Macaca fascicularis: one gene and its partners. The protein of the gene in region 4 interacts with the protein of the main gene of each other region in a pairwise test. Links are inferred from orthologs where the notes say so. Each region holds a gene or a part of one and is shown on either strand. Other genes may lie near its edges.

The links.
Region 1: the proteins of FLNA (region 4) and HSPB7 interact in binary tests that used the Homo sapiens proteins (3 or more experiments, as listed by UniProt). The two-hybrid records come from large-scale screens. The link is inferred for Macaca fascicularis from reciprocal best matches to the Homo sapiens genes FLNA and HSPB7.
Region 2: the proteins of FLNA (region 4) and KLHL12 interact in binary tests that used the Homo sapiens proteins (3 or more experiments, as listed by UniProt). The two-hybrid records come from large-scale screens. The link is inferred for Macaca fascicularis from reciprocal best matches to the Homo sapiens genes FLNA and KLHL12.
Region 3: the proteins of FLNA (region 4) and PELO interact in binary tests that used the Homo sapiens proteins (3 or more experiments, as listed by UniProt). The link is inferred for Macaca fascicularis from reciprocal best matches to the Homo sapiens genes FLNA and PELO.
Region 5: the proteins of FLNA (region 4) and CASR interact in a two-hybrid assay, tested with the Homo sapiens proteins (2 studies listed by BioGRID). The link is inferred for Macaca fascicularis from reciprocal best matches to the Homo sapiens genes FLNA and CASR.
Region 6: the proteins of FLNA (region 4) and MYOZ1 interact in binary tests that used the Homo sapiens proteins (3 or more experiments, as listed by UniProt). The link is inferred for Macaca fascicularis from reciprocal best matches to the Homo sapiens genes FLNA and MYOZ1.
Region 7: the proteins of FLNA (region 4) and ADAMTSL4 interact in binary tests that used the Homo sapiens proteins (3 or more experiments, as listed by UniProt). The link is inferred for Macaca fascicularis from reciprocal best matches to the Homo sapiens genes FLNA and ADAMTSL4.

Annotation. Positions count from the first base shown.
Region 1 is NC_088375.1:219,086,677-219,090,853, forward strand, and holds the start of HSPB7 (heat shock protein beta-7), read left to right. Parts: upstream 1-1,377; 5' UTR 1,378-1,456; coding exon 1,457-1,655; intron 1,656-2,198; coding exon 2,199-2,347; intron 2,348-3,655; coding exon 3,656-3,835; 3' UTR 3,836-4,177.
Region 2 is NC_088375.1:60,671,869-60,675,368, reverse strand, and holds part of KLHL12 (kelch-like protein 12), read left to right. Parts: intron 1-617; coding exon 618-771; intron 772-2,445; coding exon 2,446-2,663; intron 2,664-3,500. UniProt on the Homo sapiens protein: Substrate-specific adapter of a BCR (BTB-CUL3-RBX1) E3 ubiquitin ligase complex that acts as a negative regulator of Wnt signaling pathway and ER-Golgi transport.
Region 3 is NC_088380.1:58,200,105-58,204,123, forward strand, and holds the start of PELO (protein pelota homolog), read left to right. Parts: upstream 1-1,219; 5' UTR 1,220-1,633; coding exon of another isoform or gene 1,634-1,694; intron 1,695-4,019. Other genes in the region: ITGA1 (integrin alpha-1), read left to right, coding at 1,634-1,694. UniProt on the Homo sapiens protein: Component of the Pelota-HBS1L complex, a complex that recognizes stalled ribosomes and triggers the No-Go Decay (NGD) pathway.
Region 4 is NC_088395.1:160,375,905-160,379,404, reverse strand, and holds part of FLNA (filamin-A), read right to left. Parts: intron 3,286-3,500; coding exon 3,096-3,285; intron 2,937-3,095; coding exon 2,913-2,936; intron 765-2,912; coding exon 517-764; intron 404-516; coding exon 308-403; intron 176-307; coding exon 73-175; intron 1-72. UniProt on the Homo sapiens protein: Promotes orthogonal branching of actin filaments and links actin filaments to membrane glycoproteins. Anchors various transmembrane proteins to the actin cytoskeleton and serves as a scaffold for a wide range of cytoplasmic signaling proteins.
Region 5 is NC_088376.1:161,062,895-161,066,891, reverse strand, and holds the start of CASR (extracellular calcium-sensing receptor), read left to right. Parts: upstream 1-1,197; 5' UTR 1,198-1,681; intron 1,682-1,838; exon of another isoform or gene 1,839-2,047; intron 2,048-3,997. UniProt on the Homo sapiens protein: G-protein-coupled receptor that senses changes in the extracellular concentration of calcium ions and plays a key role in maintaining calcium homeostasis.
Region 6 is NC_088383.1:72,731,765-72,735,264, reverse strand, and holds part of MYOZ1 (myozenin-1), read right to left. Parts: intron 2,872-3,500; coding exon 2,693-2,871; intron 1-2,692. UniProt on the Homo sapiens protein: Myozenins may serve as intracellular binding proteins involved in linking Z-disk proteins such as alpha-actinin, gamma-filamin, TCAP/telethonin, LDB3/ZASP and localizing calcineurin signaling to the sarcomere.
Region 7 is NC_088375.1:110,694,268-110,697,767, reverse strand, and holds part of ADAMTSL4 (ADAMTS-like protein 4), read left to right. Parts: intron 1-605; coding exon 606-810; intron 811-1,061; coding exon 1,062-1,234; intron 1,235-1,381; coding exon 1,382-1,493; intron 1,494-1,593; coding exon 1,594-1,779; intron 1,780-1,942; coding exon 1,943-2,072; intron 2,073-2,388; coding exon 2,389-2,593; intron 2,594-2,903; coding exon 2,904-3,080; intron 3,081-3,393; coding exon 3,394-3,500. UniProt on the Homo sapiens protein: Positive regulation of apoptosis. May facilitate FBN1 microfibril biogenesis.

The DNA of each region.
Region 1 (4,177 bases), on a different chromosome or scaffold from region 4:
GGAAGAAGGGACACAGCAGAGAGTCACAGCACACAGGAAGACCATGTCACACTGCCAGGTGCTGTGGGAGGACTAAGACAGTCAGTGCTGGGGGCATCTGGACCGGGTGTGGGCCCATGTGAGCAGGAGCAGTCAGAGAGGCCTCCCTGTGGGAGGAGGCATTGGAGCTGATCTGGGACGGTAGGGCCGGACGGGAGAGGAGAGCAGAGGCCCTGAACTGCAACCTGGGCAGAGCAGAGGGCCTGGCTGCCTCTCAGAATGGCCTCCACCCTGGCCCAGCGCAAGGTCAGTCCTGGCTTTGCTGAGCAAGCAGGTGGGTAGGGAGGGGCTTCTCTGGCTCTTCCGGGCCAGCCTGTCTCCATAGGCGTATGTTCAAACCACCTCAGCCTCTGAAGGGCTTTGGGTCCAACACACCTGGGTTCGAATCCCAGCCCTGCCACTTATGCAAGTGCGAGCTCCGCCCTTTCCAAGAGGCTTCACTTCCCCCTCCATAACATGGGAAGAGCGCCTCCACCCTCCCAGCTGTGCGGGGATCAAACGGGGCCACACTTAGACAGCTTGCAGCCAGGAGCCTGTGCCCAGAAGGCACTCCAGAAGTCAGGGCTAGAATAATTGTCTTCCAGAATTCTCTTTTACCTCTGACTGAAATCCCACCTAAGGCAGTCGCAGGCATCACCTCTGACACAGGGTGGAGCAGACAGCTGTCAGGAACATGACCTTCTAGACCTTTAAGGAGAAAGCTGCCGGCTTTGTCCTCTTGGGGCCTCTACATGTTCTGAGAGTCAGAGGGAGTGCAGGTATAGAATCCAGGTCCCCGTAGGGGCTGGCAGGGGACAGCTGCACATTCTACACCCCCTGGCAGGGCTCAACCTTTCCTTAGAGATGGGCTGTGAAGCTTGTCTGCCTTGAGGGAAGGAACTCCTGACGTCACACAGCAGTGGTGCTTCCACCTACCCCGTCCCCAAGGAGCCTGCACGCTGATGGGGGAGGCACAGCCATGGAGGAGAACCAGAGTCTCGTGGGGAGGCACAGTCCTCAGGAGCCCCCAGGCCGATGGGGGAAACAAAACACACAAGAAACCCCAAACTTGCAAGGTTCTGGGGCAGGCACCGAGGTCCAAGTGGCAAGGAGACAGGATCCAGCCCTGTGCAGTGGTGGGGAGGCCCCTGGGGCTGCTGTGGCCGGCCTGGAATGTCAGGCTGTGAGCTCAGCCCTCTCGGCCTGCGTGTGTCGGGCTGTCAGCAGGGCCGGCGCACGGGAGAAGATTTCCAGCCCCCTCTGGGCCATGGAGAGGCCTAAATTTAGCTAGTAGACAAGGGGCTGGCCCCAAGCCCAGGGACAGTCGGCCTTATAAAGCGGCCGCAGTCGGGGCCCGGCACGCTCTCCCGAGGCCTGTGCCCACACCCTCTCTTGTCCAGCCCTTGCCCGCCTGGGCAGGGCCCGGCGCCGCCCGTGGATGAGCCACAGGACCTCTTCCACCTTCCGAGCGGAGAGAAGTTTCCATTCCTCCTCCTCTTCCTCCTCCTCTTCCACCTCTTCCTCGGCCTCCCGTGCCCTCCCGGCCCAGGACCCACCCATGGAGAAGGCCCTGAGCATGTTTTCCGATGACTTTGGCAGCTTCATGCGGCCACACTCGGAGCCCCTGGCCTTCCCAGGCAAGTGATCCGGGCCCTGAGGGGAGGGGAGGCGCACAGGGAGGGGACATCTGCTCCAGGGCGCCACGGAACAGGCTGTGGCTGCCGGTCCGCCTGGAACAGGTGCTGCACAGCCTGCAGCCATGTGTGGCCACCAAGACAGATGTGGCCACAGGGACAGATGTGGCCATGAAAACAGGTGGGCCTCTAAGGAACAGTCGTGGCCCCGGGGGTTGGACATGGTTCCATGGCCACCCATGCTCTGGAACCGCAGCCAGTCCCAGCTGGAGCCCTGGAGGGCCGGACGGGGTGAGGGGTGGGAGGCAGTCCCCAGGCTCCAGGCCTGGGGTGGGGTTGTTACAGATCTAGCCTCATATACACACACACTGTGTCGGGTGAGGTCCCACCCCCACCCCAGAAAAGGTGGGCTGTAGGAATGAGGAGGAGCTTAGGGAGAAACAGCTCAGGGGGAGGTAGAGCCTGGGGGAGCCGCCCCTTGCCCCAAGAGAAGGAGCCGGAACCCCCGGATCTGCACACAAGGCCTGCTCCATGCCTCACTCACAGCAGCCCACCCCACAGCCCGCCCCGGGGCGCCAGGCAACATCAAGACCCTTGGAGACGCCTATGAGTTTGCAGTGGATGTGAGGGACTTCTCGCCTGAAGACATCATTGTCACCACCTCCAACAACCACATCGAGGTGCGGGCTGAGAAGGTGAGCCCCCCCCCACACCCACCGCAGACCAAATTCGCTCCCAGCTCCAATGCCTCCTACTCCCCCTTCCCATCCTGGGACTCCAGATCCTGGCCAGTGTCCCTTCCCCACCCAAACACCCCCAGGGCTAATTGAAGGCCTTGTGCCTGTAGCCCACGGCCATGGGTCCCCTCACTGCCTCTCTTTGCACCAGGGTTCCCAGATCCTTTCTTCCAGGGCCCTGGGCAGCTGAGGGAGCCTCTGGGGAATGGGAGAGGGACGGAGAGATGTGGGCAGAGGGAGCCTGAGGTGGGGGGGCTTGAAGGTGGGAGATGACGGGCGTGAGATGGTGATGGCAGAGTGAGGACAGCTCCTCTGGTAGCTGTAGAGGGTGGATGCGGGTAGCTGGGGAACTCACCTGGTCTGTGGGGGAGGGGTTTCTCCATGTGACACACCTCAAGCCCTCTTCCCTCCCATAGCCAGAGCTCCATCCCCCATCTTGGGACTCCTAAATTAGGCCCAAGGCTGGGCAGGGACCCTGCAGTTTAGGGTCACACACACTCCAAACCACACACACCGTCTGCCCACAGGTCTCAGGGTCACTGGGTCTCTAGGGTGTCTGAGTCCGAACTTGGAAGAGGCACTGGGGCCTCCACCCTGGGGAGGGCATGGCCAGGCCTGAAGAGGGGCGTTGTCCAGGAACAGCCACGGCTGCCAGGAGAGAGGAGAGGACCTGCCCCAGGCCTCCTCCTAAGCCCCCAGGGGCTGGCTTCCTCCCTTCCACATTCAAGGGTGGACTCCTGGGCATCCCTGCCAGGGATGCCATGGACTGGGGGCACCAGGACCCGTGGGCAGCACGTGCCAGCCCTGCCACCCCCAACAGTGACTCAGCCGCCCCTAACTCCCCTGGACACGATGTGCTGGCTGAGTTGTGGGGGAGGGGCCATGCTCAGCTCCGGCGGGCAGATGCCCAATGTGTCTGGGGATCCAGGAAGGCACGGCTCTCCTCTGTCATCTCTGCGTTCCCCACGAGCCCCAGATGCTGAGCCGCTGCCATGGAGCCGCCTCTCTCTCTAAGCCCCACCTCTTCCCCATGCCCCTTGCCTGTCCCTTAGAACTACTGGAGCTCCGTGGAGCACCCCTGTGCTGTCCCTGCAGAGCCCTCGGCCTGTGGCCATCACCACCCTGGGCAGCCCCTCCACACCTGAGGGCAGAGCCCCTCAGCATGTGGGGCCTGGCTGCGGTTAGAATAGGGAGAAGAGGGCTGTAGCTTGTCACAAGCAGGACAGGGACCGGGGCAGCCTGCCTGATGGGTCACCCCTTCCCCAGCTGGCGGCTGACGGCACCGTCATGAACACCTTCGCTCACAAGTGCCAGCTGCCGGAAGACGTGGACCCAACGTCGGTGACCTCAGCTCTGCGGGAGGACGGCAGCCTCACCATCCGGGCACGGCGTCACCCGCATACAGAACACGTCCAGCAGACCTTCCGGACGGAGATCAAAATCTGAGGGCCTCTCCCTTCCCTTTCCCTGTCCCCCTGCCCCACGCCTGCCAGCAAAGCCTTCCTAACCCCATTACAACAGCCCCAGGACATCTCAGCCCAGGTTCCAGCCCCAACGCTCCCCAGACCCCAGGTGGACCATCCTCCCAAACTAGGGCCCTCCACTCTATCCAGAGCAGGCCAGGGACTCCCTGTCCTGCCCAGATTTCAGATATGGCCTCCCCCACTTAATCCAGAGTACAGGGGCTGGGGTCAGGGAAGGAAGATCTAAAGAACCCGTGGTGGGTAAGGGGAATGGGACCAGCAGGACACCTGGGCAAGCTCTGCAGGACAGACAGACAGAAAAACC
Region 2 (3,500 bases), on a different chromosome or scaffold from region 4:
GGCTAGTTTTTTGTATTTTTTAGTAGAGACGGGGTTTCACCGTGTTAGCCAGGATGGTCTCGATCTCCTGACCTCGTGATCCGCCCGTCTGGGCCTCCCAAAGTGCTGGGATTACAGGCTTGAGCCACCGCGCCCGGCCCATATTTGCTTTATTAAAATCCAACAAAATAGAGCATACTTTTGTTTTTTTATTTTCTTACTTTTTTATTTTTTTGAAAGAGTCTCACTCTGGTGCCCAGGCTGGAGTGCAGTGGCATGATCTTGGCTCACTGCAACCTCTGCCTCCTGGGTTGAAGCAGTTCTCCTGCCTCAGCCTCCTGAGTAGCTGGGACTACAGGCATGTGCCACCATGCCCGACTAAGTTTTGTATTTCTAGTGGAGATGGGGTTTCACCATGTTGGCCAGGCTGAACTTGAATTCCTGACCTCAGGTGATCTGCCTGCCTTGGCCTCTCAAAGTGCTGGGATAACAGGCGTGAGCCACCATGCCTGGCCTATAATTTTTAAAGATATATGTTCAATTAATGTTACTAACATCTCTAAGCTCTTAGGTATGAGATTCTGCCTTTATCTTGTAGAATTATAACCATCATTCTTTTTTACCTTTCAAATTTTCAGCTTTCAGAGAAGGGGAAACCTTATGTTGACATCCAAGGTTTGACTGCCTCTACCATGGAAATTTTATTGGACTTTGTGTACACAGAAACAGTACATGTGACAGTGGAGAATGTACAAGAACTGCTTCCTGCAGCCTGTCTGCTTCAGTTGAAAGGTACAGACATTAAAACTTGGTATTATTTATGTTGAAATAGCCCTGGAAAGATTGAAAATTAATAGTGTAAACTTAATCATGAACATTTTGGAGACAAACTATGGATGCTTATGTTTACTAGCCATGGCTTTTGTCTCATTGAGCAATAAGAGATCAGATGTCAATAGCACTATAAAGGAACTTCTCCAGATATGAGTATTTGGCACTATAAAAGAGAGCATTTGCACCTTTTCTGTTTTAAAAAAAAAAATGTAGGAAGGAGAAATTATGTGTTTTCTTACATACATGTATATAACACACCTATAAGGAACTATAATAAAAACTGATACTATACATAATCTACATGGATACTCTTTATCTGGCCATTAAGTGGTAGTATTTCATTAAGATAAATGAAATTTAAATTGATGCACAAAATATTAAAGTATGTTTTCACAGGATTACAGGTGGTTTGTTTTCCCTTACAGTTCCCAGGTTTTTTAGACTTCTTATTTTGTTTTTGAGACAAGAGTCTCACTCTGTCACCTAGATTAGAGCACAGTGGTACAATCACAGCTCACTGTATCCTTGAATTCTTGGGCTCAAGCAATTCTCCCACCTCAGCATCCTGAGTAACTGGGACCACAGGCACATGCCACCACACCCAGCTAATTTAAAAAAAAATTTTTTTGGCCGGGTGCGGTGGCTCAAACCTGTAATCCCAGCACTTTGGGAGGCCGAGACGGGCGAATCACGAGGTCAGGAGATCGAGACCATCCTGGTTAACACGGTGAAACCCCATCTCTACTAAAAAACACAAAAAACTAGCCGGGCGAGGTGGCGGGCGCCTGTAGTCCCAGCTACTCGGGAGGCTGAGGCAGGAGAATGGCGTAAACCCGGGAGGTGGAGCTTGCAGTGAGCTGAGATCCGGCCACTGCACTCCAGCCTGGGTGACAGAGCGAGACTCCGTCTCAAAAAAAAAAAAAAAATTTTTTTTTGTGGAGACGGGTTCTCTCTGTGTCGCTCAGGCTGGTCTCAAGTTTGTGGACTCTAGTGATCCTCCCACCTTGCTTCCCAGAGTGCTGGGATTATAGGCATGAGCCACCATTCCTGGTCCTCAGTTTTTTCTTTTTAAAATTCAGTTATGTTTTTGGTTTTTATATATACATAATTGATACATTTTTAGTTTTTAATACATGGTTTAAACAGTGTGAAGCTTTTGCATTAGTGCATAGTCATAAAATTAAAATACCCTGAACTTTTCAATTAGATGAATATGAGATTTGTTATTATCTTCTGCTTTTCTTTCACTCTAGTCTTTTAGTAAGTTTTCATGTAGAGTAGAAAAATGGGTACATTATGCTGAATTAGTAATTAGTTTTATAGTTTGATTCCCAAGAGTTTTGTAGGCATTTTTGTTGAATTTTGCCAGGTCCCTGGATGTGATTCATCTTGCAATATTCACTTTAAAGATTAAACAGAGACAGGTGTAAAGGTCTTGCTGAAAGTGGCGCAGTACATAAGCCAGAAATAGGGTTTTAAGTTCCTTAAGCAAAGAATTTCTCATCTGTTTCTTAGGTGTTGAAACAAGGGTTCATCTGATAACATGTAGAGAAGATGTTGAGATACAAGAATATAGACTAGATCACACCCGTCCAACTGTTCTAAAGTGTTTGCTTCCTGTGTCCGTCCTAGGTGTGAAACAAGCCTGCTGTGAGTTCTTAGAAAGTCAGTTGGACCCTTCTAATTGCCTGGGCATTAGGGATTTTGCAGAAACCCACAATTGTGTTGACCTGATGCAAGCAGCTGAGGTTTTTAGCCAGAAACATTTTCCTGAAGTGGTACAGCATGAAGAGTTCATTCTTCTGAGTCAAGGAGAGGTGGAAAAACTAATCAAGTGCGATGAAATTCAGGTACAGATTTGTCTTGATGTTATGGTTTCTTCAAGATTGGGCAGTTACAAAACTTGCAAAGTAGGATGCAGTTACTTACCATTAGGGCTTCATAATCAAGTGTGTATTTTGGCTCAAAGATTTCATTAACCCCTCCTGTACCAAATTTATTTGCATTTTTATGGAGTGGGAGTTTGCCACTTTCTTCAATTAGATATATGATCCGAGTGGGTAAGAATCACTATTAAACAGAGTATAGAATAAGCAGAAATTGGAAGTAAAGTAGATATCTGTAGACCACTTCTCTGTTACCCATTCACTCATTTCACAAACATTTACTGAGAATATCTACTATGTAGCAATTACTATGCCAGGTGCTACAGATCCCCAAATGGGTAAATATAGTTCTTGCTTTCAAAAAATTCACAACCTGCTAGTAGAGACAGAGATATAGACTATATATATGTATATAAAAAATAAAGAGGATAATAAGAATAATGAGCCTATACAAAGTAAGGACATTACGTAGAAGAAAGAAGAATAAACCTTTGCTCAGGAGTGGATCAAAAATGAAGAGACAAAAGTTTGGAAGTGAGGATCTACAGAAGCAGGAGCCAAATCATAACTGTCTTGTGAGGGCGCAGGGGATGGAAGGAAGGGACACGCAAACTGGATGTTAAAGGAATAGTAGGCCAGGCACAGTGACCTGTACCTGTAATCCCAGCACTTTGGGAGGCTGAGGCAGGAGAACTTCTTGAGGCAAGGAGTTTGATACTAGCCTGGGCAACATGACAAAACCTTGTCTCTACAAAAAAATAAAATTAGCCTGGCATGGTGGTGAGCACCTGTGGTCCCAGC
Region 3 (4,019 bases), on a different chromosome or scaffold from region 4:
TTTAATGTATTCACTAAATAGTGAATCAGTTCAGATACATAATAGAAAAGGAATTTCTTGACTAATGGGTCAACATACTGAGATCTGATGGCCTTCAACTTCCTTGGGTCTGCCCACCCCATTTTTGACCCTCCTTAAACTTCTTCAGCTTTTGTCTTCTCCAGCTTTTAGTTGCTGCGATCCTCTAACTGGCAGTGTATCCAGTGATCCCTGTGGGTTTCTTCCTTCCTGTCCCTCGTGTTACCTGTTCTGTGCTACCTGTGTTGTGTTCTGCTCAACGAACCCTCCTTTGGGTGGCACTCTTGTCCTGCCTAGCCCTAGTTCTGTTAGATAGAGATGCTCAATTAGTTGTTGAGTTGAAGTGAATTGAATTGAACTGTTCCCCTCAGATTCCTCTAAACACAAATCCACTCATCTTTTCTGTTCTTTGAAACTCTCCAAACCGCTAAGACACAGCTATTTTGAAAATAGCAAGCATTGGTTGAAGTTAGCACGAATATGGCTTTTGACTCAGCCAGGTTGTTCAACTCACCAGGAAAGGGAAGCATTGCTACTTCCTAAGCAGGTCTGGACTCTTAACGAATTTTTACTCGTAAAAGTTTCAAGCAAGAAAAAAATAAAGCAGTGCCCCGAGTTCTTTATTAGATTCAATTACCAGTGTACAAACATCCTAATTCACTTAAACAAAATAGCCCACACACATTCCATTTCAAAAGAGGCTGCTTTTCTTCCTCTCTTCTCTTCTCTCTCTCCCTCTTTCTGTTTTTCCTCGGTCTTGCTTCTCCTTTTCTTCCTTTATCATAGTTATCTCAAAGAAAAGCTTATCTGCAACCACCGTTTAACCACGAATTACCATAAACTAAGCAAAGCCTCCCCACACCCCGGCTCCCAATAAGCGAAAGCAAAGCCCTCAGTGGAGCCTGTCGGGGTGGTAGGGACGCCCCCTTTCGTGCAAAACGACTTCACGGTGAAGTTCAAGTGTCCGCAGGAGATGGAAGGGGGGATTCCAGATCCTCTCATTTTCACAGACGGCCTAATCCCTCTGCGTAATGGACCTCGGAAAGCTGCCTCCCGTTAAGGGCGCCCAGGTACTGCCAAAGCTCCTTCGCTACCCGGACCGGGAGAAGTCAGGGGTGTGAAGGCGGAGCCACTTGGCTGGCGACACCCTCCCGAAGTCCAGCCCTTACCCGCCTTCCTACCACCTTAGGGGATTTGGCCCGGAGAACGAGATCACCCTCTCAATGAAAGGCAGATGTCCCTTTAAGGTTTGCTTCTACAGCCCGTGGACTTTAGCCTAAACACGGACCCGCGAAGCTGGCTTTATTTGTCCATGTCTCGGACAGAGCCTGGGAAGCTGCCAGTGAGATTTCAGAGATCAAGAGCGCGCAGGGGCGGGCGATGTGGCAATCCGTCTGGGATGTGAAAAGCGTGGAGCGCACTTAGAGGCATTCGACGAAAACACAGGAAATCACTCCTCTCCCGCTCCTGGACGCCGCTGCCACTGGGGCAGAGGACTGGGAACCGCGGCAGCGGGCTGAGTGGCCCGGCCAGAGCGCGCAGCTCCCGCGCCCGGTCCTGCCAGGTCCTGTCCTGCGAACCAGCGCGGCCCCCTGGCGCTGAGGCCGCTCCGGCCATGGCCCCTCGGCCCCGCGCCCGCCCAGGGGTCGCTGTCGCCTGCTGCTGGCTCCTCACTGGTGAGCAACTCGCTTTTCTCTGAGCATCTCCGATTCGCGGGCTTGGGGCTTGGAGCGGGGAGGGAGGTCCTCAGAGCCATGGGCCAGATAGGAGAGAGTGCCCTTCCACTTTCGGGCACTCCAGGCTACGGAGCAGGCAGGAGTTTCGCGTTCTGGTTTTGATGTGAGTTAGTCTTGGTGTCTCTCCAAAGTCCTTCACCCTAGGAGTAGGAGTGAAGCAGCACTGAAAACTTACAAAGTAGAATTGACTTTTAAAATTAAAGTTGTTTTTACAATACACATTGTATTTTAGGACTTCGCTGAATATTTCCTCCCCTCCACCCTTTTTTATGGCATGGGATGAGAGGGTGATGCTTATAGGGCGCCTGATACATACGCAAAATTCCTACCCTCGGGTTGTTCCAGAGTGGACATTATTGAATTTTCTTGCTGTCTACTATTCAGACTTTTTTCCCATGCAGAACAAGAAAAAACAGGGATGCAAGGCAAAACTGCCACTTGTTCCAAAATGATGTTTCTATGTCAGCATCCAAGAGGAGGGATATTTTGAAACGTAGAAAGGAATGGTGAACATTTTCTCTGTCAATATCACAGTGCAGTCTACTTTTAAGATGCAAAATATACTATTGTTATTTGTACATAAATGTGTATTTTTAAGGAGGGGACTTAAAAACATAGTGGAAATGCAAAGTTGTATCCAATTTAGGAAAAGGTCGAAATATAGTATTTTCTAAGATTTTCCCAATAATTAACTCATGGTCAGATCTTTTTTACCAGTTACTGATTGGGATGGTGGGAAGTTGAAATGGTGAAAAATGGAAGGAGGTGGGGGGAAAGTATCGATAGAATCTCTGTGTGAAAGAAAATCATCTTTTTAATGGGATAATTAACAGCTGGCTTTAACATATCATTGATATTCAATTGTTCCGTGTTTTTACTGCTGGCATGGTTATTAGTACTAGTTAATTTAGCATTTTTACCATTAAAAACAAGGTAGAGCCAGCCAGTTTAGACCTGCCTTAGATGTCCAAGCATTGTTAACTTTTATGAAGATCATTTAGAAGTTGATTATCAGCAAGCAAAGCTTTTTTCAGAAGGGAGGTGATGTAAAGAGAGTTAATAATGAGCTACTGGCTTTTCATCCAAACATTTCCCACTACTCAGGAAATGTCCAATAATCCAAACAGTGGCAACTGCTGAACAGCATTATAGCCAGTGAGTAGTTTAACTTACCAGCTACTGCCACTACTCTTTACACATACTTAACCTATGAGTCTTCTCCAACTGAATTGTTTTTAGATTGTATTTTGTTGTTTTTGTGCAAAATCTGAATACAGTAGTTTACTAACTATTTGAGTTGTACCTATTTCATTCTACCAAATAAGCAGTCTCTAGAGTAGAAATGATGAAATGAGGTTTGCATATCCTCTAAAAAGACAAGAGTGAAACTTGATGTAACAGAGAAGTTTAGCAAGTTACAATTTCATATATATGTTGGTGAAATATACATTGGTGAATCCAGGAAGAGACTTAAAATATTTAGAACCCTTGTGTGTTTTATGCCCATTTCACAACACATGAGGCATCTGAAATTGGACTGCTTTCCTTTGCTGATTCCCCATCAGTCATTATATTCTGTAGGCTCTTCTTTAGCAATCTCTTTCAGATTTGGAAACTTCTTATCAATTAACAGAGTCCATTTGTAACCTGGGTACTAATCACCATACTTATCCATGCACACCACTGTAGAGCTTATCTTTCTGTCTTCAGTCTGAACCCAACTTCTAGTCTACCCTCCTAATACATCATTTTCATTATATCTGTTTTTAGTAAAAAATCTTTGGTGGTTCTTTGTTGGCTTTAAGATAATATCCAAAATTCTCAACTGACTGCCCTAATCCAACACGCTTTCTCTATCTCCTATGTCAGTTTCTTATTGCTGTTGTAACAACTTGCCACAGATCACCACCTTAAAACAACATAAATTTACTATTGTACAATTCTGTAGGTCAGAAATCTCACTGGGCTAGAATCAAGATGTCACTAGGGCTGCATTTCTTCTGGAGGTTCTAGGGGAAAGTCAGTTTCTCTGTTTTCATCAGCCTCTGGCCACCACCTGCATTCTTGGCCTGTGGCCCCTTTCTCCATCTTCAACCCAGCAGGGTAGAATCTTCAGCTCTTCCCCTGTGATTCTGCTTTATCATCATATCTCTTTCTCTGACTCTGACCCTACTACCTTCCTAAGGATCCTTTGTAATTACAATGCGCCTAACAGAATAATCTCATCATCTCAAGATCTTTAATTTAATTACATCTTCCAAGTCC
Region 4 (3,500 bases):
CTGAGGTCAGGGCAGCTCATTGGCACAATCTGGCCTCCTTGGCTCCCGAGCTCCTTCCTAGTCCCCACTCACCTGTGATCTCACCCTTCTTGATGGTGAAGGGGATGACAAGGTCAAAGGGCCTCAGGCTGGTCATATCCAGCCCATTGACACCCACCAGGGGCCTCTCTGGGGCCTGCAGTGGAGACACAGGGCATGGGTGAGGGGCCGTGGGAAGATCTGGGGGTCCCTCCTCACACATAATAAAATAGGGCCTCACAGAACACCCAGCTGGCTAGCCCCAGTGTCCCTAGCTGGCTAGGCGTACCCAAGTCTGCTGACCGCCCTGGGCGTAGGTATACTGTGGGGCCAGCTGCTGAGACCGTAGCGGGGGCTGCACCGAGGGCTGGTCCCCAGCCAGAGCCTGCAGGGCAAAGCAGAGAGCTGCTGGAGAGTCTGTTGTCACAGAGGGGCCCCAGGGGAACAGGCCAGGACCTGCCAGACGCCCCTGCTGACCTACCCCCCACCCCTCCTCACCGTCACTTGGAAGGGGCTGTTGGGCACGTGCTCGCCACCAAAGCGCACACAGATAATGTATTTGCCCGGCTGGGGGGCCGTGTAGAAGATGTCAAAAGTGCCGTCCTCATTCTCCACCACGTCCACATCTACCTCTGAGCCATCAGGCGTGCACACGGTGCATGTCACTTTGCCTTTGCCTGCTGCCTTAGTGTCCACGGTGATCACCGTCTCCTCCCCAATCTGGATGGTGGGGCCGATGCCAGCACCTGGTGGGGCAGGGTGGGTCCCCAAAGGGGGGCCAGTGTGTGAGCTTGGGCTCAGGTTGTTCCCATCCGCCTGCTGCCCACACAGGCCTCTCATTGCCACCACCAAGCACAGCCAGGCCTTGCCCCTCAAGCTGGGATGGCGAGTGGTTTCTCAGAAGGCAGGAAGGGTTCTCTTGACCACCTCAAGTGCCCGTGTGGGAGGGGCCCGACGGTAGCACCCAGGTGCCTGGGAGGAAAAGGAAGGGCCCACTCCAGCCTAAGTGTTGACAGCCACTCCCTTGCCTACTCAGCCTCATCCAGCACCACGGCCCACACTGCTGAACGTCAGCATCTGGCTGGGTACACGGCTGCCTGCACCCCTGTGGCCTGGCCCCGGCCCCCATTGCTGTGTGTGGACGCGGTGAGGCAGAGTCCTGCTGCAGCGTGGGGGGACGTGACACTTGCCTCCCCACCCCCCAGGCCTGATGGTGAGACCAGAGTTTCCTGACAACTGAGAAGGCTCGCGGTGAAAAGCAGCCCGGTGCAGGCAGGAGTGGGAACGGGGAAGCGGAAGGCAGTGGGGTTAGCACCCGAGTAGCGCAGTGCAGCAGGCTTGGCACAGCGGGGACAGCACCCAGGGAGACAGGGAACAGGAGGCCCAAGCTACAGCCACCACTGCTGGGTTGCAAGGGCAGAGCAGCTGAGCAGGCTCCAGGGCCCCAGAGTGCCCGAGGAAAGGGGAGAACAGTGACGTTATGATCTGGAGCTCTGCCGTGGAGGCTTGGGGGGCTGTGGGCTGTGAGGCCTGGCAGTGACAGTGTCCCCTGCAGCCTGGCCTCCTGCCAGGGAAGCAGCCAGGAACACGAAACCCACTTGAAGGCCAAGCTCGAGGGGCTCTGCCACCAAGTCCCGCTATCGGCCGAGGGCTCCTGCTGCACTAGGCTCCATGCTGGCCTGCTGCGGCCAGGCAGCTCTCCCGAGCTCCAGACCTGGCTGCCTGCTGCCCACGCTGCCCTGGGAGGCTTCATTCATGCCCACCCCATGACATCTAGTTAGTGTCTTGGACCCCAACCTCACAGGTACCCAACTCTCCCCACTTTCCCTGCCCAGCTCCCGGCTGGCCATCCGCAGGTCTGAGCCACTCCATCCTCAAAGTATGCCTCCTAATTTGGCTCTCACTGAAGCCCCCTGGCCACCAAGCTTGCCGGAGAGCAACTTCAGCACCGCCCCCCTCCCTGTCTCCATTCTGCAAACAATAGCCAGGGAAATGAGGTTACTGAGTCTTGCTCCCACCCCCAAAGCCCCCAAGGCCCTGCAATCAGCACTCCCCAGCCTCCCCAGCCCTGCACACACACGCCTGTCACATCAGATCCTACCTACGGCCTGTTCTATAAAGCCATCTCGCTCCTGCCGCAAAACTCTAGCCACCCTCTAACCCTTTCCTTAGCCACCTTGCCCAAATGCCAGGCCTGTAGCCTCTCATCAGCATTCCCGGGTGTCCCTGGCTGGGGCAGGTGACCCTCCATGCCTGTTGGGTAATGTCTGAATAACGTCACTGCTGGGAGATGGGGGAAGGGGGAAGGAGGGAGACGGGTCACAGAATGCACTTTGGGGCTCTGAGGCTGGGCCGGGCCCCGCCATGCTGGCTGCCCAAGCAGTCGATACTGGCGCTACTGCACTACCAGCCAGCCCCACCCGCTCATGCACCTCCCCCAGCCCGGGACGCAGAGGCCCCTAGAAGGTGGGGATGGGGGTCTGTGGATCTGGCCAGGGCTGGGGCTCCCACTGAGTCAGGGAGACCCCTTGTTCCCTCAGCCCACACAGGAACCCTTGTGCTTCCCTGGGTGCCAAGATCCCGAGACCCCAAAGTCCCCAGTGGGGTGCCTCTCAGGATGCACCTCACCCCAAAGCTCTCAGCTGCAACCCGAGTTCTCAGATGGGGAAATAAAGGCCCAGAGAGGGGGAGAGCCGGAGCGGTCATGCTCAGCTCCGGAAGCCTCCCTGGGCCCTCGCCCTCCAGCCCACAGCCTCATCTTCTGCGCCCCCCCCCCAACTCTGTCCCTGCCTAGAGCTGCAGCTGGAACTGTCCTGGGAATCGGCTCCAAGAGGAAAGGAAGTTGCCCCTCTGGACAAGAGGGGCATTGGGAGTGGCCCCAGCAAGCAGCTTACCTAGCCCGTGACCTCCGATTGACACTGAGGTGAGAAGGCAGAGAGCAAGGAGAAAGGTCAGGTGAGTCACTCAAGGGGGCAGCCCCCACTCCCACACGCCGCCCCAAGCAGCGAGCCCTTGCACACAGGCACAACCCAAGCCCCGTGCCGAGTGCCGCAGCGGCCAACGGCAGGCTGGCTCACCTGTGACTGTGCACTTGCTGGCGTCCCCGGTGGGCACGGCACGCACGCGGTACGGGGAGAAGGGGATCTCGTCACCACCATACTTGATGAGGATGGTGTAGCGACCCGTCACATCTGGCACATAGGCCACTGTATACGTGCCGTCATGGTTGTCTTGGATGTGTGTCTTCTTCGGCTTGCCTTCCGGATCCTGTGTGGCAGAGGCAGGGGAGGCAGCTGGCTCAAGACCAAGTAGCCCCAGGCCTGCCTCAGGCGCTCCTGGAAAGCGCCCAGCGTGGCTGCTACAGGGACAGCCTCTGGGCCTCAGGCCTCTCAACTGCTATGGCCCAAAGGGCTGCCTGCACCTGGCAGAGTCCAGAATGGAGACTAAAACATCCCACACTCCCCACATGACAATAGGCACAG
Region 5 (3,997 bases), on a different chromosome or scaffold from region 4:
AGCAATAATAGATCTTCAGAGTAATGCTTTCTTAAAGATAGTGCCCAGATTTGGACATTATGCCCAGGTGTAACCTGACCATTGAAGAGGATAAGTTCAGCCTAAGATTGCAGCCTCATTCAGGTTTTGAACTGAACTCATTCAGCCTTTGGGTGTTCACAAGGTTGTGCTTGTAGCCAACTAAAATAAAATCTAAGGTATTTTGATGTAGAGCACTACTGAGCCACATCCCCCATTACCAACTTGTATTGCTAGGTGTTTCGGCCTGAGGGAGGACTTCACGTTTATTCCTATTAACTAGATTTTCCTCCTTCCCTGGTTCTTTGGCATTTGCTCAGCTCCTTCTCCTACGCTGTATTTGAGGGAAAGGAAGCCAAATGGGTAGAATTGGGCCATAATGAGGATGTGTTTGACATGCTGGATTTGAGTCTGTGTTCCATTGAAGAAAAGAAATGGAAACTTTGTTGAGTATCCATTCTGTACTAGGCACTTTCCTTGACTATTTCATTGAACACTCCAAGGACCCCTTGAGGTAGATGTTATGGCCGATTTGCAGAGAAGAAATCTGCATTTTTATTTGAAGTTATTAAACATGGGTAAATGACCCAATTTTCTGCTTTTTGCTTAACAATAATTTGCAAACATTTTATCATGTTACTTCATGTTTCCCTTTTTTTCTTTATAAATAAATACATACTCCCTCCTTATTCTAAAAAGAATTTGAAGCACTTCTGTCTTGATGTTTATCATTTTAACGGTTGTATAATATCCCATTAAGTCACCCTAATTTACTCAACCAGTTTCCTACTGTTGACAGTTTGGCTCTGTTTACTTTTTGTGGTTTTCAAATTTTTTTTCTGTAGTAAATGATCCTCCTAAAAAACATCTCCGCATGAATGTTATTTTGTTCTGGAAATTTCCCCAAGCATGGAATACTGCATTAAAGGGGATATTTTTGGTGTTTCTTTATAGAGACTAGCAAATTGCCCACCCAAAGGAGTATGCTTTATTTGAGGGTAAAAAGCCAAACACACACACACACACACGCAAATGGTTTTCTACAAAAGAAATTAATTTTCCACTTATTCATAAAATATTCTAGTGCTGTGATGGGTGGCAGGCACCTTGCCAGGGGCTAGGGACAAGGATAAGCAAGGCCAGGTCGGGGCCTCCAAGCAGCGAGCTGTGGAGTCGGGTAGAACAGGCGCCTGGCTGCAGCCAGGGAGGATCGCGCGCCCTTTCGCGCAGGAGAGTGGAAGCAGGGAGCTGTTTGTCAGCACCGAGGTAACGCTTGACCTGAGTCTTGCACAATAAGTAAGAGTTTGGGCACGCGATTTGTATTTATTTTATTGTGAATCTCTGGCCTTATATCAGAAAAAAAAAAAAAAAATTGTGCCACCCTCGGCACAGAGAACGTTGGTGGCGTCGTAAGCCCTCTAAGTCTCTTTCCATCGCCAAGGAGTAGGGGTCCGGGAAGAGGACCTCCCCGACAGCAGGCAGCAGGAACAGGATTTGGGAGCCGGGAACCCCTGGCTCGGCACGGAAGAGGGCAGGAGAGGACCTGAGCGCGGGGCTCACCGTCTGCTGGGGACCCGAGCCGGCGTGTGGCCCTCGGGGAACGGAAGACGCGCCCTCAGCGACCCTGAAGAGTCAGCTAAGCTATCTGCGGGCTAAGGAGACGGTGAGGGAACGGGGACTAACTGGGGTGGGGGTTAGAGGGCAGCTCGCGAGTGGGCTCCAAGGGGAGCTGGGCTCAGCAGTCCGGGACCCCGAGGGGGCAAGCGGGCGGGGAGCACGAGAGGGGCGGAGCTCCGGGGCCAGGGCCGCCGCGGCTGCCCAGAGGGTCTGCGGGGGCTGCTGCGGCCGGTCCCGAAGGCGGGCGCAGGGAGTGCAGTGAGCCATGCGCACCTCTCCGAGACCGTGACCTTCGCATAGGGAGCAGGGTCCGCGCGCCGTCCTGAGATCAGACACAAGCCCAGCCTCGTGAAGACCCACGGCCGAGGGGCTGGAGCTGCCTCTGTGCGAGGGAGCCCTGGCCAAGGCGCTGGTAGGACCAGGGAACCCGAGGAGGGCGGGCGGAAAGCGCCCCCAGTGGGGGAGGGGCCGTGGCGGGGTCTGGGGGCCAAGGGCTCGGGGCCGAACGAGGGGCACACGCCGGAGCAGCTCCAGCCTGGGAGCATTGGGCGTGAACGTGGGGGAAAGTAGGGACCACATTATAGGATCAAGGCTTTCCCCGGCTCAGAACTGGACTGTTCAGTGTCCCCTAGAAGGGGCAGCGGGTCACCTACGCCAATGAACGGGAGTGCACACCAAAACGCCTGCTGTCGGTAGTTTCTTGTGCCTCTGCCTTGCTTCTGCCTGTGATGTAGTCAGAAAGGACTCGCTCTCCATGTGTTAACAAGGGGACAGGTAGCTTCACAGAGTGTATGAATATGGAGGGGAGGGCCACGGCGTCAGCTCTGGCCCCAGGGGCCGTCAGTGTCCCTGCAGAATTCCTGGTCCAAGCCGCCAGAATTCCTTGGGGACTTTGCTTCAGTGGCATCAAATTAGACTGTCAGTTCCCGGGGCCTGATCACCAGCCTCCGTATGTATTTCCTGGGGAGAAAAAGCATACCAGACTGATGGAGTCTTATCATTATTTTAACATTATAGCTTTCAATAGATAACATGCATATATTTATTTTTTAAGTCAAATAATACAAACATTTATCTTCTAGAGGCACTGCCTGCACTAGCATGTGTCTATTGCTATCTCCTTTCTATACTCATAGCCTTTCACACTCTACATGTTCTGTCGCCGTCTTTTGATTCTTTAGCCAGAAAATGATGTCACCACCACTGCCCACATCCTTTAATCTCCAGTGTTCCTTCTCGCAACGCCTATCTTGTCCTCAAATGTTTTTCACAAGGTGTTCCTCAGGGTAGGGAGCCCACTAACGAGAAGACATTTCATTTACTTGCTTCAACTATCCCAGAGATCTGAAGAAAAGGCACATTGGGGAACAGTCCATGACAAGTTCTAAACACACCTATCTTTCCCCTTAAACTGGATCTTCCAAGTGCAGTTTAGGTAGTCTGTTATTGAGAGGAAATAATGCAGGCTGTTTTCTGAAATGCTCTGGATTTCCAGAACTTAACACCACAGCAGTTCCTATTCCTTAAAACAGAACTTCATCAGTCACACCTTGCTGTTGCTTTTCCCGTCTCCACTCCAGGATCCCCTAACTGGTCTGCCTAGGATTTTTTCCTCTGTAGGAACCTGGGACACCGGGTGCTTTATACCTGCCTGGGAGGTGTTCCATGAAGGGCCTGAGGGACAAAGCTTTGTGGTGGACAAGGTGGGAGGGGAAGATGTAGGGGAAGTTGGAGGGGAAGTAGAAAGGAAGAAGCAGGCCAAGACCCTTGAGTGCAGAAGACTCCTCAAGCACAGAGCCCTGTCATTTAGGAACAGTCCCCATATAATTTGCTAAGAGACCACACATGCAGGTTACTTCCTGCCAACAATCAGTACAGTCAGCTCTGTTTCAAGACTTCTATGTTAGGCCAAAACATAGTAAGTGAAAACAATCAGCAAATCAACCAGTTTTTGTCTCTATGATAAAACAGAGTGGTTGAAACTAAATTAATTTAAAAAATTTTTTTACTGAATTAGCGGGTTCTTTAGGAGCTGTGTCCATTGTTTAAAATCACCTAATAGGTACTCCAGTCTCCACATTTTTCCTTTATTTTGTTTATCTTTTCATATTGCATAACCTTGAACTGGATCCCAACCATGTCAGAAAGTTCAGGCTGATTAGAAGCTGCCGCTTCTAAGACTTTTTGGTGGGAGAGAGTGGGGAGGAGAGGATGAGAAAATAATGACTGATCCTTGTGATAGGGTAGGTGTATAATGAAGAGGAAGAAGTTGACTACAAGTTTGAGACTGGTGAGGAGTCGCATATAATTCTTAAGGTAACAGGGGAATGAGTAAGAAGTAAACAAAATTGTTCATCATTCA
Region 6 (3,500 bases), on a different chromosome or scaffold from region 4:
CAGCCTCCCAAGTACCTGGGATTACAGGCATGCACCATCACACCTGGCTAATTTTGTATTTTTAGTAGAGACAGGGTTTCTCCACGTTGGTCAGGCTGGTCTCAAACTCTCGACCTCAGGGGATCCGCCTGCATCGGCCTCCCAAAGTGCTGGGATTACAGGCATGAGCCACCTCACCTGGCCTAAATTAAACTCTTCTTAAGAGGTAGGACCCCCTTGGCTCGTTTCCTCCAGTTATACCTAGGGTAAGGGCAGGGCATTCTCCATGCTCCCCTTTCTCATCCTTAACAAGTCAAAAAAGACCAAGATTCCTGCCCAACTTAAAAAAAAAAATGAAAAAAAAATTTTGCTTTTTGAGACAGAATCTGGCTCTGTCACCCCAGGTTGGAGTGCAGTGGCACAATCTTGGCCCACTGCAACCTCCACCTCCCTGGCCCAGGCAATCCTCCCACCTCAGCCTCCCAAGTAGCTGGGACTACCAGCATGCCACCATACCCAGCTAAATTTTGTAATTTTTTTTCCTAGAGACAGGGTTTGCCATGTGCCCAGGCTGGTCTCAAACTCCTGGGCTCAAGTGATCCATCTGCCTCAGCCTCCCAAAGTGCTGAGATAACAGGCATGAGCTGTGCGCAGCCCCAACTAGAATTTGGGAGGATGGGGTTGCCATGGAGAACCCAGTCTTAATTACAAGGACTAGAGAAATTTCTGCCTCCTCCCTTCCTCAGCTTGTCCAACAGTCAGAACTCTCTTCTCTCTCCTTCTTTCTCTCCCTCTCTCCTCTTGGTGCCTGTTGGACCAGGACTTCCTGACTGAAACTGTAGCAGGTGGGGGGAAGGGTGGCCAAAAGGGCAACATTAGATTCAAACCCAAAGCCTAAAAATAACCCCACCAACTTCTTCAGGAGGCTCTCCTGGCCATCCCACCATGTACACCCCAATGCTCCACCCAGTGTAACCGGACCCAGGCAGAGAAGAGGGCTTTTGGCTTCCTAAAGTTAGATATGAGCAGCTCAGCACTTTTACTCTGCTCCTGTATGAGGACCAATGACAGACACTTCTGCCCCCGGCCCCATGCAGGCATCTAATTCCACTCTCCCCCAGACACTTAGAGAAAGTGGAGAAGGAAGAAAGGAAATGGAGAAGGCCCCTCTTCCTCAGCTATACCATCCTGTGCCTGGCCTCTCTCCAGTCTCCTCTTTCTTTGGAGAAGGAGCCTGACTAGAATATATCTTGAAGGACAGTTTCAGTCTCACCTGGGGCTCCTTAGGGAATAGACTGACCCTTTAAATGAAAGAATGGCTTAAATGGGAGATGGCTGTAGAAACTCAATTAACTCTTTCTAGGGTTGCCAGATTTAGCAAATAATATAGAGGATACCAATTAAATTTGAATTTCAGATGCACAACAAATATATATATTTTTTTGAGACAGAGTCTCTGTCACCCAGGCTGGAGTGCAGTGGCATGAACATGGCTCATGTTCATGCAGCCTCTACCTCCCAGGCTCAAGCCATCCTCCCACCTCAGCCTCCAGAGTAGCTGGATTACAGGTGTGTGCCACCACACCCAGCTAACTTTTTAATTTTTTAATTTTTTGTAGAGACAGAGTCTTGCCATGTTGCCCACGCTGGTCTCCAACTCCTGGACTCAAGCAGTCCTCCTGCCTTGGCATCCCAAAGTGCTGGGATTACAGGTGTGAGGTATCACACTTGACCCAAATACTTTTTTAGTATAGATATGCCCCAAATGTTGCATGGGATTTACTTATACTAAAAAATTATTCATTTGCATCTGAAATTCAAATTTAAGTGGACATCCTGTATTTTTATTTTAATGTCCCAAATATTGCATGGGACATATTTAAAAAAGAATTCATTGTGCATTTGAAACTCAAATTTAATTGGGTATTCTGTATTTTAAAATTTCAATTTAATTATTTGCCTTATCTTCTTTTTTTTTTCTTTCTTTTTTTTTTTTTTTTTTTGAGACAGAGTTTCACTCTTGTTGCCCAGGCTGGAGTGCAATGGCACAATCTGGGCTCACTGCAACTCCACCTCCTGGGTTCAAGTGATTCTCCTACCTCAGCCTCCTGAGTAGCTGGGATCACAGGCACCCACGACCATGCCCAGCTAATTTTTTGTATTTTTAGTAGAGATGGGGTTTCACCATGTTGGCCAGGCTGGTCTCAAAAGACCTCAGGTGATCCACCTGCCTTGGCCTCCCAAAGTGCTGGGATTACAGGTGTGAGAGCCACCATGCCCGGCTGCCTTATGTTCTTTCTAAAATATTTTTAAAACTTTATCTTTATGTCCCAAATATTGCATGGAGCATATTTTACTAAAAAATTATTCACTGTGTATCTCAACTTCAAAATACAAGACAAGACTGCCCCACTGGGCATCCTGTGTTTTATCTGGCAACCTATCTTTAACACTTACCCTTACTAGGAAGGAATTTTCTCCCTAAGGGTGTGGTATTCTCCAATCCTTCAGTGGCTCTTTGATGGAAACTGGGTTTCAGAGGTGGGCTGTAACTCACCCTGGAGCTGCTGAGGGCTCAATATATCTGGGAGTTTAACAAATTTATAAATTTCCAGGGAGGGGATGTTGACTGCATTTTGGAGGCTCAGGGCCTACTAACAAGCTGTCAGAACAGGCACCAGGCTTTGAGACGGTGATAAAGTTTCAGACTTACCATTGAGCTGTCAGAGAAAACATCAGGGTGGTTCTCATAAATAAACTTCTCCACCCTCATCTGCCGCAGTTTGAACATCTTGGAGCCCCGGTTGGTAAGCAGCGACAGTTCCTCCAACATCACATCCCTTGGGACACTGATCTTTTTGCCCAGGTTCAAGCCTGAGCCCTCCTGTCCACCTTTCAGGGAGGCAAAGAAGAATCAAGGGAAAGAGGAAAGTAGGGTTTTCTGGGCTCAGAATGCAGACCTCATCCACAACTAAGTGTGAATGTGTGTCCTGGCAGAGATCATTTAGGGGAACAAATGCTGTCTAGTTTGTGAGGGACTTTGATTTCCTGGGACTTGGAGAGAATGCATGGGAACTGGGGTGCATTGTGGAGATAATGGGAATACTAGAGTGGAGAGGCCAATGGGGTAAAAGAGGCATGGGCATGGGGTACAGAGCAAAAGGAGTAAAGGAACATCATAGATGGAGGCCATTGGAGAAAGCATGGCATCAGGAAAAGCCCAGAGGCCAATCTTATGTGGAGTGTAAATACAGATGCCATACATATACATATTTTTTATTTATTATTATTATTTTTTATTGTTTTGAGACAGAGTCTTGCTCTGTCACCCAGGCTAGAGTGCAATAGCGTGATCTCAGCTCACTGCAGCCTCCGTCTCCCAGGTTCAAGCAATTCTCCTGCCTCAACCTCTTGGGTCGCTGGGATTGCAGGCCCGCACCACCATCCCTGGCTAATTTTTATATTTTTTGGTAGAGACGGGGTTTCACCATGTTGGCCAGGCTGCTCTCAAACTCCTGAGC
Region 7 (3,500 bases), on a different chromosome or scaffold from region 4:
CACATGCACACACACGTATTTGCACAGTCTCATTAATTTTTTTTTTTTTTGAGACGGAGTCTCGCTATGTCGCCCAGGGTGGAGTGCAGTGGCCGGATCTCAGCTCACTGCAAGCTCCGCCTCCCGGGTTTACGCCATTCTCCTGCCTCAGCCTCCCGAGTAGCCGGGACTACAGGCGCCCACCACCTCGCCCGGCTAGTTTTTTGTATTTTTTAGTAGAGACGGGGTTTCACCGTGTTAGCCAGTATGGTCTCGAACTCCTGACCTCGTGATCCGCCCGTCTTGGCCTCCCAAAGTGCTGGGATTACAGGCTTGAGCCACCGGGCCCGGCCTACAGTCTCATTAATTAATTCAACAACAAAACACTATACTGAGATAACCAAGGGAGAATTCTAACCTGCCAAGCTGGGCTGAGCAGAGCCTGAAGGATCTGATCGGGCACCTGTCCGTGTCCCTGGGTCTGACTGGGGACGGTGGGGCTGCTTTTGTGCTCTCACTTGTAGCACAAAAAGCAGGGTAGTGAGCTGAGGCTCCCGAGGGGACAGGGGTGGGGTTGAGGTGGTGTCTGGCATTCTGTGGCCGCTGCCTCACCTCACTCTCTCCAGAGCCCCGGCTGTGATGGGATCCTTGGCTCTGGCAGGCGTCCTGATGGCTGTGGAGTCTGTGGGGGTGATGATTCTACCTGTCGCCTTGTTTCGGGGAACCTCACTGACCGAGGGGGCCCCCTGGGCTATCAGAAGATCTTGTGGATTCCAGCGGGAGCCTCGCGGCTCCAGATTGCCCAGCTCCGGCCTAGCTCCAACTACCTGGGTGAGCACCCAGCTGCCTCCCTTTCACTTCCATGTCTGTTCAGCCCTCCATACCCCCACTCAGTGCAGTGAGCAAGCCAAACGGGGAAGTCCAGGGTCTGGCCCCTCCCCTTGTGGAAGGTGTGAGGAAGCTGAGAGGGCTTGGGGGGCTCTTAGGTTCTGGTGGGAGCTTCTATAGGCTGAGGACACAGTGTGGGAGGAGGAAAGTATTATCACCCTGGAATTTCCCAATCTCTCACCTCTGACCTGCAGCACTTCGTGGCCCTGGGGGCCGGTCCATCATCAATGGGAACTGGGCTGTGGATCCCCCTGGGTCCTACAGGGCCGGCGGGACCGTCTTTCGATATAACCGTCCTCCCAGGGAGGAGGGCAAAGGGGAGAGTCTGTCGGCTGAAGGCCCCACCACCCAGCCTGTGGATGTCTATGTGAGCCTGGGGCCAGGGGCAGCTGGATCCTGGGGAGGGAGGCTGTTCTCTCTAAGGGCAGAGCTGTGGTTGTCAAGATGGGAGATAGAGCTGGTGGCATCCCCCTCTGGCCACCCCCAAACATTCATTATCTTCTCTTCTCCCCAGATGATCTTTCAGGAGGAAAACCCAGGCGTATTTTATCAGTATGTCATCTCTTCATCTCCTCCAATCCTTGAGAACCCCACCTCAGAGCCCGCTGTCCCCCAGCTTCAGCCAGGTAAGACTCTGACCCCTGCACTTGGAAGGAGGAGGGAGAAGCTGCAGGGGTGGCTCTGGGGCAGTGGGGTGGCATCTGATTCACCTGCTCCCCTGCACAGAGATTCTGAGGGTGGAGCCCCCACTCGCTGTAGTGCCCCGCCCAGCCCGGACCCCAGGCACTCTCCAGCGCCAGGTGCGGATCCCCCAGATGCCCGCCCCGCCCCATCCCAGGACACCCCTGGGGTCTCCAGCTGCGTACTGGAAACGAGTGGGACACTCCGCATGCTCAGCGTCCTGTGGGAAAGGTGAGACATTGCACCTTGGACCAGCACCTCAGTCCAAGCCCCCCAACTGACACTCCTGATCCTGCATCCGGGATAGTGGGGCCACGCCCGACCCTGCATCTGGGACACCACTGAGCTTGGGCTCCAGCCTCCTGCCTCCCTGGCTGCCTTCTCACCCACTCAGGTGTCTGGCGCCCCATTTTCCTCTGCATCTCTCGTGAGTCGGGAGAGGAACTGGATGAACGCAGCTGTGCCGCGGGTGCCAGGCCCCCAGCCTCCCCTGAACCCTGCCACGGCGCCCCGTGCCCCCCATAGTGAGTATGGCCCACGGGGAGGGTTAGGGTACTGGAAACACAGCAGTTGCCCCCAGAATCTTACCTGAATTCTGCACTCAACGCGACATCTCCTGGCTGCAGAGAGACAACATTAGATTAGAAAGGCGGACATTCGGTAGGCAGCAAGAAAGCCATGGCAGGCTGAGCCCCCCAGGAACCCAGACTCCAAATGCCAAACGTGCCCACTCTCCTCTGAGGCCCCCATGTCCAATGTGTCTTCCATCTCCCCTGCCATGGCAGCCCCACATATCTCATCTGTGTCTCCATCTCTTCCGTGCCCTGCTGGTGCCTGCAGCTGGGAGGCTGGTGAGTGGACATCCTGCAGCCGCTCCTGTGGCCCTGGCACCCAGCACCGCCAGCTGCAATGCCGGCAGGAGTTTGGGGGGGGTGGCTCCTCGGTGCCCCCCGAGCGCTGTGGACATCTCCCCCGGCCCAACATCACCCAGTCTTGCCAGCTGCGCCTCTGTGGCCATTGGGAAGTTGGCTCTCCTTGGAGCCAGGTGAGTGCGCCCGGGCAAGGTGCCGGGGAGGGGATGGGCACCGGTGAACAAGAGCAGCGGTTTTTCAACTTCTTTTTCATCAGCAGAAACTATTTACAAACAGGGTTTCATATGGACCCCCAATATAGAAGTCAGATAAGGGACTGAATCAGGGATTGGGGGCCCGGGGCCCTAGGGCTCAGCCTCCTCCTCAGCCCATGAAACCATGTGACTGCTGGGCTGGGGATCGAAGGCAGAGCCTGGTTCTGAAGCCCTAGAGCTGGAGGCTGGCTGAGAAGCCCAGCTCCCTGGATTCCCCTCGCCCCCTCAGTGCTCCGTGCGGTGCGGCCGGGGCCAGAGAAGCCGGCAGGTTCGCTGTGTTGGGAACAATGGTGATGAAGTGAGTGAGCAGGAGTGCGCGTCAGGCCCCCCGCAGCCCCCCAGCAGAGAGGCCTGTGACATGGGGCCCTGTACTACCGCCTGGTTCCACAGCGACTGGAACTCCAAGGTGAGCCCCGAACCCCCAGCCATGTCCTGCATCCTGGGTGACCATGCCCAGGACACCTCAGCCTTTCCAGCACAGCTCAATAAACTTGTATTGATCAAGTGCCTGCTATATGCTTGACGCTGGGAACTCAGAGGTAAGTGAGAACAACTTCCATGAGGGGCCCAGTTAGGATTCCCCGTCCAGGCCTGGTACCTGGGGACGTTCCCTACCGCCCAGGATTCGGACCCAGGATGCATCCCTCCCTGCCCCCTCTCCTGTCCCTTGTGCCAGTCACCAGCAGGCCCCTCACGCAGGCCGCTCTCCTCCTCCGCAGTGCTCAGCCGAGTGTGGGACGGGAATCCAGCGGCGCTCTGTGGTCTGCCTTGGGAGTGGGGCAGCCCTCGGGCCAGGACAGGGAGAAGCAGGAGCAGGAACTGGGCA